Rattus norvegicus: one gene and its partner. The protein of the gene in region 2 purifies or fractionates together with the protein of the main gene of each other region. This does not show direct contact. Links are inferred from orthologs where the notes say so. Each region holds a gene or a part of one and is shown on either strand. Other genes may lie near its edges.

Region 1 (4,160 bases), on a different chromosome or scaffold from region 2:
AGAAAACTTGATTTCTCCCTTAGATATTTATCTATAATAAAAAACCCAGTATGACAATGAAGAAGTCTTACAGGTACTGGCTTATTCTAAAAATCAAAGTTAACTCTGGTGATGTTCATCATCACGAGTGACTAAAGTTCTAGCTGTTATCATGGCTGTGGGATATTCTCAAGTCTCAGAAACTCATACATATGTGTAAACTCATACACACATGTAAACTCATACACACATGTAAACTCACGCACACCAAGAAAGAATGTCCAAGTAAACACGGTAGAATATTACAAGTGGATAATCCGGGAGAAAGATATGCAAAAGATTTTAGCATTATTTTTGCACCTTCCTGTGTAAATCTAAGTGGCCGCTTAAAAGCTTTAAATTCACATCTGTCTAATTATTCTGAGGGACACTGTGTTTCCTGGCTGCTCCAGGCTCTAAAGTTACTGTGGCAGTGAGGAAAAGTCGCCATGAAGACTTTCCTGGAAGGCTCAGCCATTTATCCTCATCTTTAGTCATCTTTAGTCATTTATGTATGTGGAGTTGAGATGTTAAATATATTTGAGATTATATTTGTATTCTTACACACACACACACACACACACATAGAGAGAGAGAGAGAGAGAGAGAGAGAGAGAGAGAGAGAGAGAGAGAGAGCGAGCTGTGGAACCTACCAGCCATACCAAGGAATGAATGTACTTACCACCTTTTTTAACCCCACATTAATCTGTCATAGAAATCTGAAAGATTATCATAGCTGGTAACAGGTGAACACTTCCTACCTTTTCATTCTTGAGAAGAGCACACGTGGCAGCCTCCCTACAGAGTGCTGTCAGGTCAGCACCGACATAGCCAACTGTCATTTCTGCCAGCAGGCCTAAATCGATATGACTGGAGATGGGCATCTTTGAAGTAATCACTCCCAGAATTGCCTCTCTCTGTTTAAGTGTGGGAGTTCCAATGATCACCTACAGGCAAAGCAAAAAACCAGAGAACTTAGAAGTAAACAACTTAAAATCTTTAAAAGCATCCTCACCAATATGTACAGACACTCAGCAAACCTTTCTGGAACTTATACCGTGAACTTCTAAGCGCACCTTATTATAAATATAAGAAAATTGTCCAGTGGAACAACAGTAGCTGCGGATTTCCACAATGAAAACTCTATACTTCACTGAAGAAGTCTTTGTTGTTTTTTGAGAACACACTAAGTTCTGGCAGTCAGGGCTCAAATAACAGAGTAGATAATCTAGGTCCTTGTTCTGTGGAATCGGGGCCCTTTAATAGATGGTGCAAGGAAGAAATTCACTCAAGTCCTAAAAAGACTTAAGAGAATCCTACCACAACATTTAAATTTTATTTAATTACTAACAATTCCTTAGAAATTAGAAAGAAAAATCACTTGACCAAAGGCTCCTGAGAAAGAGCCCTGACAACTTAGGGAAGTCAACTGTAGGAGAGAAGCTGGTATCCTGACAGGAACGAATACATTTTGGGGCTAATGCCGTTTTTTTATTTACCTTCTCTTACTGTGACCATGTTCTCATCCCAAAGGCTGTTTCGGTTTAATATGCTTGCAACAGGCTTAGTTACTTCAACAAAAATGACCATCCTGCTTCCCAGAACAATTTGAACACTGGTTCTGGCTCGCATATCACAAGTGATCTATAAATCCTGCCTGACCCAAATGTCCAAAAAAGCGGAGCTTCCAAGAATTTTACCTCTCTGTCAAACCTCCCCGGCCTGCGAAGCGCTGGGTCTAACTCGTCTGGCCGGTTGGTGGCTCCCACGACCACAACCTCCCGGTCCCCGTGGATACCGTCCAGCAGCGTCAACACCTGGGCCACCACGCGGCTCTCGGGAGCTCGCTGGGGGCCGCCTCTCCGGGGACACAGGGCGTCCACCTCGTCCAGGAAGAGGAGGCTGGGCCCGCGGCTGGCCAGCTCCTGGGCGCGCTGGAAGACGCGCCGCACATTCTCCTCGGTCTCTCCGGGCCGAGTGCCCTGCAGCGCCGGGGCGCTCACCGCCAGCAGCTCGGCGCCCGCCTCTCGCGCCACGGCCCGCACTAACTGGGTCTTGCCCACTCCCGGGGGTCCCGCCAGGAGCACCCCGCGGGGCACCGCCAGCCCCAGTGCGGCTAAGGCGAGCGGATAACACAGCGGCAGGCGGAGCAGCTCCCTTAGGGAGTCGGCCGTCTCCGACAGGCCCCCAAGGGTCACCTCCCCCGGAGGCTCGACCTGTGGCGGAGGTTTGTCGCTGAGCGTGATGCGGGTGTGCGGTGTGACCCGCCCGGCGGGCTCTGGGTCCGGTGTCCCGCTCACCACGTGCAGAGCTGCTACAGGGCCCGGGATACCGGGAGGGGTGGCCACCACGTGTCCTCGCGACACCGGCCGGTTGCGCAGCAGCTCCTGCGATACCTCCAGCACCGCGTCGGAACTCGGGGCTCCCGCCTGCGGCCGCAGCACGGGCCACACCTCTAGGCGCCGCAGGGGCGGACAGGACACCGGTTGCAAGCGGTCCATACTGATCCTCCCCGCAGCTGCCGCGGCTCCGGGGCTAGCGCACTGCAAGTCTAACTGCACAAAGCCGTCCGCCCCGTCGCGCCGTGGCCAAGCTGTGCAGAGGCAGCAGCCCCCGGCGGGCAACGAGATCCTCATCGGCGAGCCCAGGCGCACGCCCAGGCTGCGGAAGGCGGCCGGTCCTAGGCGGCAGCGCTGGGTGCCCCGGTCCCGGGGATCCACAGGCAGCAGCTTCAAAAATTGTCCGTCGGGGAAGGGCCCGGAGTCCGGAGCCATGACTAGGAGAACCACACCAGGGAGAGCCCGGCAGCAATTCACCCGGCTGCCGGATGCAGGCGGCGCGCATGCGCCATGGAGGAACCAGCCATTGATTGACGGTCGAAAGGACTTCTGGGAAAGTGAGAAAAGCCTGGGTCTCGGTAAACTTAAGATGCCTGGTTGTTGGTCCCAGAGCCTCAAGGAAAGGTCTCTGCTGGCAACAGACAAAACATCCTATGGCTGCTCCATTAGGCCATAAGAGTTTTCATTTGGGGAAGTAAAACGACTTAAGGAAACAAAACCATGCTGCTAACAAGGTGTAACCTGTTTACAGGTATAATAAACAACGTGTAAATAAAATACCTGCCACGTTAATCATGATGCTCGCATCTTATGAAATATCTTTTATTCTTGTTCCAAAAAGCTTTGAGCATCTGCACATGGGAAAAAAGACATAATAAGGCATGATAACCATCTTCAATACGTAAAGGGACATATGTAAAAGTTAGCGTACTTGTGGATAGCTGTGGTATAGAACGGAAACGGAAGTTTAATGGGGTGATCTTCAGAGGTTTTTCTCTTATGCATGGTCGCATGAAAGGTACAGCCAATGGTCATAACCAGCGCCAACTGAGGCAATTAGAGCTAACTTATGCTTACAGGTTTCTGCACTGGTTTAAAACAGAGGTAGAGAGGTTAAGCTAGTAGGGATATGGTGTGGAGGAGAGTACATGTTGTTTTGTGTTGCATGGAGAGATTGATCCCTTTCAGGACCAGACTAAAATTCTCTGACCTTAGCCAAGAAATAACGACTTCCCCACTACAACAACCATTCCCCTCCTTGTGTCACAAATATCAAGAAGGGATTCTGTTCGTGGGCCCTCAACTCTCTTTCACTCATTCTCAGTAGAACTATAGATTATCTTTCCCAGGCAGCCTTAACCCATCATGCTCCTCTAAGTCAAACCATTTTCAACGCATTGCCTCAGTCATCCGTATATTTGAATTCATCATACCGACAATGACATAGTCTTGTAAGCAACCATTCTAAGCTGGCTGTTATGGGTCATACCTGTATCCCAACGTTTGGAAGCCTACGTAAAGATTATCACAATTTCCAGCTCAACCTGTGCTACATAGTAAGGTCTAGGCAAGCCTAAACAAGACTCAAAAACAAACACAAAAGTCTCAAAAAAAAAGCCGGAAGAATACCTTGAAAAGAAAAACAGCATAATAACAGTTCGGTGGTCCTTTTGTTGGTTTATAGGACTCCAAATTGGACAATTTTATGAGCACCATTTAAAGCACTAAATGCATTCACCACTAGAGGGAGGCCAGAACCAGCAAATGAAGGCTATGGGCCCTTGGAGGATAGGACATTTGCAA
Region 2 (3,630 bases):
CGCGCGCCAGGCAGCTGCCACCCTGGAGGCCCCACCCCGGACAGCCACCAACTAGCAGGGGCCCGTACCTCCTCGGCTCCAGTGACGGAGTACGCATGTCCTTTCACCAACTTCTGGTACGTAACGGCCTCAGAATCCGCAGCGCTGGTGATCTGTAAACGCAAGGACAATAGGCGGCGGCTGCTCTAGCCCGGATACAAATGGCCCAGAAGGACGCACAAAGCACCCGGGCCCAGCCTGGGGGACTCTGAGCATCCATCCTGCCACCTGGAGGAGCAGCTTTCAGTTGCTGATCACCAAGGCGCAAGTTGGCGCATATCCCAAAGCCCCAGGAATCATCTTCTGGATGGGGAGGGTGTGCAGGGATTCACCTTCGAGACAAGGGTCTGTGGGAGGCCTAGAGACAGACACCCCATGGGGGAACTGTAGCCAAGATGCTCTAATTCCGCACCCCTACCCCGCCCAGCTCAGTTGCACAACGATGGCAGTTTTTTATTTCTACCCTCGCTTCAGAATCCGTGTATTGGGTTGCCAACTCCTTAAAAACCCTCCCTTCCCATTCTTTGGGCCCAGCTTGGGGAAGCTCCTCGCCAGGACTTGGGTCAGGCTCACTTTCCATTTCCCTGGTGAGGTTTGCCTGCAAAGCTATTTTGAAGAAACAGTTCCTTGCGGTACTCCCTGCAGTCTTAGCCAGGACCCATGAGCACTGGGACAGAGTGAGGAGAGGCTGCGGGGCTGCTCAAACAGCCCTGCAGGTGGGGGACAAGGTGCTAAAACCAGCAGAAGGGAGATGGGGGACTTTGTGTAACTTGCGCTCTTTGAGTAGAGTGATTCAGCACAGTTAGAATCCAAAGTGGGCTGGGGAGGAAGGGCAGGAATCACTGTTCCTATCTCAAATGCGCCCCCTAGAGAGCTATTGCCTAGTGATCCTGGGCTTCGGGAGCTGAGCAGTGGAATGCACCTTTGTTTTAAAGAGCCCCTCATCCCCAACCCCACCCTCACCCCACCCCTCCTCGGAGCGACAGCAGACTGAAGTGCTTGGAGAGGACCATGGAGACTTACATCGATAGAGCAGCCAAGCAGAGAACCTTTCTCCAAAGCCTTCTGGATGATCTTGAACAAATTGGGAGGAGGCTTCCTCAGCTCATACCACTCGGCAATGCCTCCTGTGAAGTCTTCAAAGCCCTCAGTGGTGGCACCCCCTGAGAGTGCTTCATAGCACCCATTGATCCTGAAGGAGGGAATTCACACTGCCACTCAGTGCCCTGGATGCTGCGGGGTGCACCTTCATCCCTGAAAATGCCACCCCACTCCAACTCAGATCCCCCCCATGGGAGCTCATGGGGTCCCCTGCTTTCATTCTCTTTGTCTTTGTCTCCAACTTGGGGTACCCAGGAAGGCAAGGCACTATCTCTGTAGTTACTTTTCCTCTGCGGCTATGACATGTTTTAGAATTTGTACCGAACCCTGGAGCTGGAAAGACTTAGTTCTGATCCAGCCTCTGGTGTTGACTCTAGCCTTGACACAGAGGTTGACACTAAAGTAATGAATCCAGCTTCCTGAGAAGCACACAGCAGGTTCCTGTGGTCATGCCCTGAGCTCTATGCTCCAAATTCTCTTGGCTAAGGACAGGGAGTCCCTACGCCCCATTTCTAGCCTGGGGCTGTAGGGATCCTAAACCCACTCACTCCGATCTTAATGCAGCGAGAGCACCAGCACCTGAGACCTCCACTTCAGAGGGCTGACATCCTGGGTGGACCTGGCACAACTTCGGGCCATCTGAGTGAGGCCCAGCTAGGATTAGAACTGGGAAACCATTCTTACCAGCCGCATGATTTATTCTGGGTGAGTTTCCACTATTTTCCTACCTTTGCAATGGGCAGATTTGCCATTGGAAGAAGGTTTTGGTCTTTTTGGTTAAGAGGCAACGGGGCCCACCAAAGAAGCAGAGTTCTTAAGGCCAGAGCAATTAGCCTCAGCATGTTCCAGTTCCCTTGCTCAAAAACAATGACCGTCCTGTACCAGTGTATCATGTGAACAACTCCCATGCCCACATTGCCTCCTTGAACTGAGAGCCCAATTTGGGCCAAAGTCATCCTTTTATAGAACAGAATGTCTACTCAAAACAGTCCCCAAAATAGCTCCTGTTTTAGAGTCCAGGGCAGCAGGGGCAAGATGGGGTGTTGGGGAAGGGCGTGGTTACTTACTTGGCATAGGCCTTCTCCAGAAGGGCACTCCAGAACTCGCTCCCCTCAGCTGAATGAACAAAGAGCAGCTCCCCGTCCTTAGTGGGCAGTCTGTCGTCCACCACCACCTCCACCCATTCGCCATATTGCCAGAACTGCAGGGCATGGGGGACAAGAGAGGGTGGCGCTGGGACTCCGAGCCTTGGCTTCATCTGGCCCAGCCCCTTGTTGTAAGTTCCCATGATTCTCTTCAGTGTCTTATGTTAAGCGTGCCCCTCACCAAGCAAGAGGCCAGTGGAGCTCAATGTAGGTCTCCAAAGCCACACACACTTTAAAAATGCCATCTCTCATTTGCTATCAGGGAAAGGAAGCCTTTTAACCTTTTATCTCAAACCTCAAATAATAAACTTAAAAACTTAGGGATTACTTCCTGAACACATTACTTCCTGTACACCATGATCTACCTCCATGGACTCTCCCCACCCCCAACTCCCAGCCATTCTGATGATGGGACTCCACATGGTGGACAGGTTGGGAAAATTTCTCTCTTCCAGCATTCTTTGCAGAACAGAACTGACCCCCAGAGTTCTCAAACCACCAGGGACCAGGAAGCTGAGGAGCAAAGTCAAGCTGGAGGAATCTGTTGAGTCCCTGAGCCAGGACGGGGAGGTGCCTTGGCCAACCATTAAGTTACCTGGAAATGGAAGATGCCTGCATAGTTTTCCTGGAAGCTCTGGTCTAGAGGCACAACTCGAGCCAGGATTTCTTCATTCAAGGTGAGGGAGGCGATGGCAGCCAGAAGCCAGCAGTCCCCTGAGAATGCAAAGCCATGAGCTCTGGTCAGGTCTTAGCTCCCGGAGGCTGTGAAGTCTTGTTCCTGCAGCTGGGTGCTTAAAACCCAACCTTACCCTGGAGTAGACGGAGCAGTGTTTCAGACAGTCTTCAACTACGGGATAGGTCACCTGGTCTGGTGGATATTTTGATGGAGAAACGCCATGTGTGGATGGCTAGATACAAGAGAGGTTCATTGTCTGAGAAACTCAGAACTCTGCGATGGCTGAACTGTGTCGTTAGAGCCTGGCCCTGTGCTCACACACAGGAACTATGCCCATCTATGGGCGAACCGAACTTAACAGGGCAACAAGAGGCCTCAGTGAAAAGAGGTTTCCGAGGGGCTGGGGATTTAGCTCAGTGGTAGAGCGCTTACCTAGGAAGCGCAAGGCCCTGGGTTCGGTCCCCAGCTCCGGAAAAAAAAAGAACCAAAAAAAAAAAAAAAAAAAAAAAGAGGTTTCCGAGAGGAGTTTGAATGAGAGGGAGAAAATGCAGCAGTCGACGAGGAGGGGCTGAACACTGCCCATCTCCTACAAGAATTCAGAGACAAGGAGAGAGATGCCTGGGCAGGGACAGGGACAGTGTGATCACGGGAGTGTGCAACAATGCATGA

What was found. Proteins that work in one complex are often made in the same cells at the same time.
Region 1: the proteins of Capn2 (region 2) and Afg2b purify together in Homo sapiens (co-immunoprecipitation; 3 studies listed by BioGRID and IntAct, with this or other methods). This does not show direct contact. The link is inferred for Rattus norvegicus from reciprocal best matches to the Homo sapiens genes CAPN2 and AFG2B.

What each region holds. Positions count from the first base shown.
Region 1 is NC_086021.1:130,147,030-130,151,189, reverse strand, and holds the start of Afg2b (ATPase family gene 2 protein homolog B), read right to left. Parts: upstream 2,849-4,160; 5' UTR 2,793-2,848; coding exon 1,719-2,792; intron 966-1,718; coding exon 780-965; intron 1-779. UniProt on the Homo sapiens protein: ATP-dependent chaperone part of the 55LCC heterohexameric ATPase complex which is chromatin-associated and promotes replisome proteostasis to maintain replication fork progression and genome stability.
Region 2 is NC_086031.1:96,705,091-96,708,720, forward strand, and holds part of Capn2 (calpain-2 catalytic subunit), read right to left. Parts: intron 3,000-3,630; coding exon 2,881-2,999; exon of another isoform or gene 2,741-2,880; intron 2,342-2,740; coding exon 2,208-2,341; intron 1,846-2,207; exon of another isoform or gene 1,705-1,845; intron 1,232-1,704; coding exon 1,063-1,231; intron 153-1,062; coding exon 69-152; intron 1-68. UniProt on the Homo sapiens protein: Calcium-regulated non-lysosomal thiol-protease which catalyzes limited proteolysis of substrates involved in cytoskeletal remodeling and signal transduction. Proteolytically cleaves MYOC at 'Arg-226'.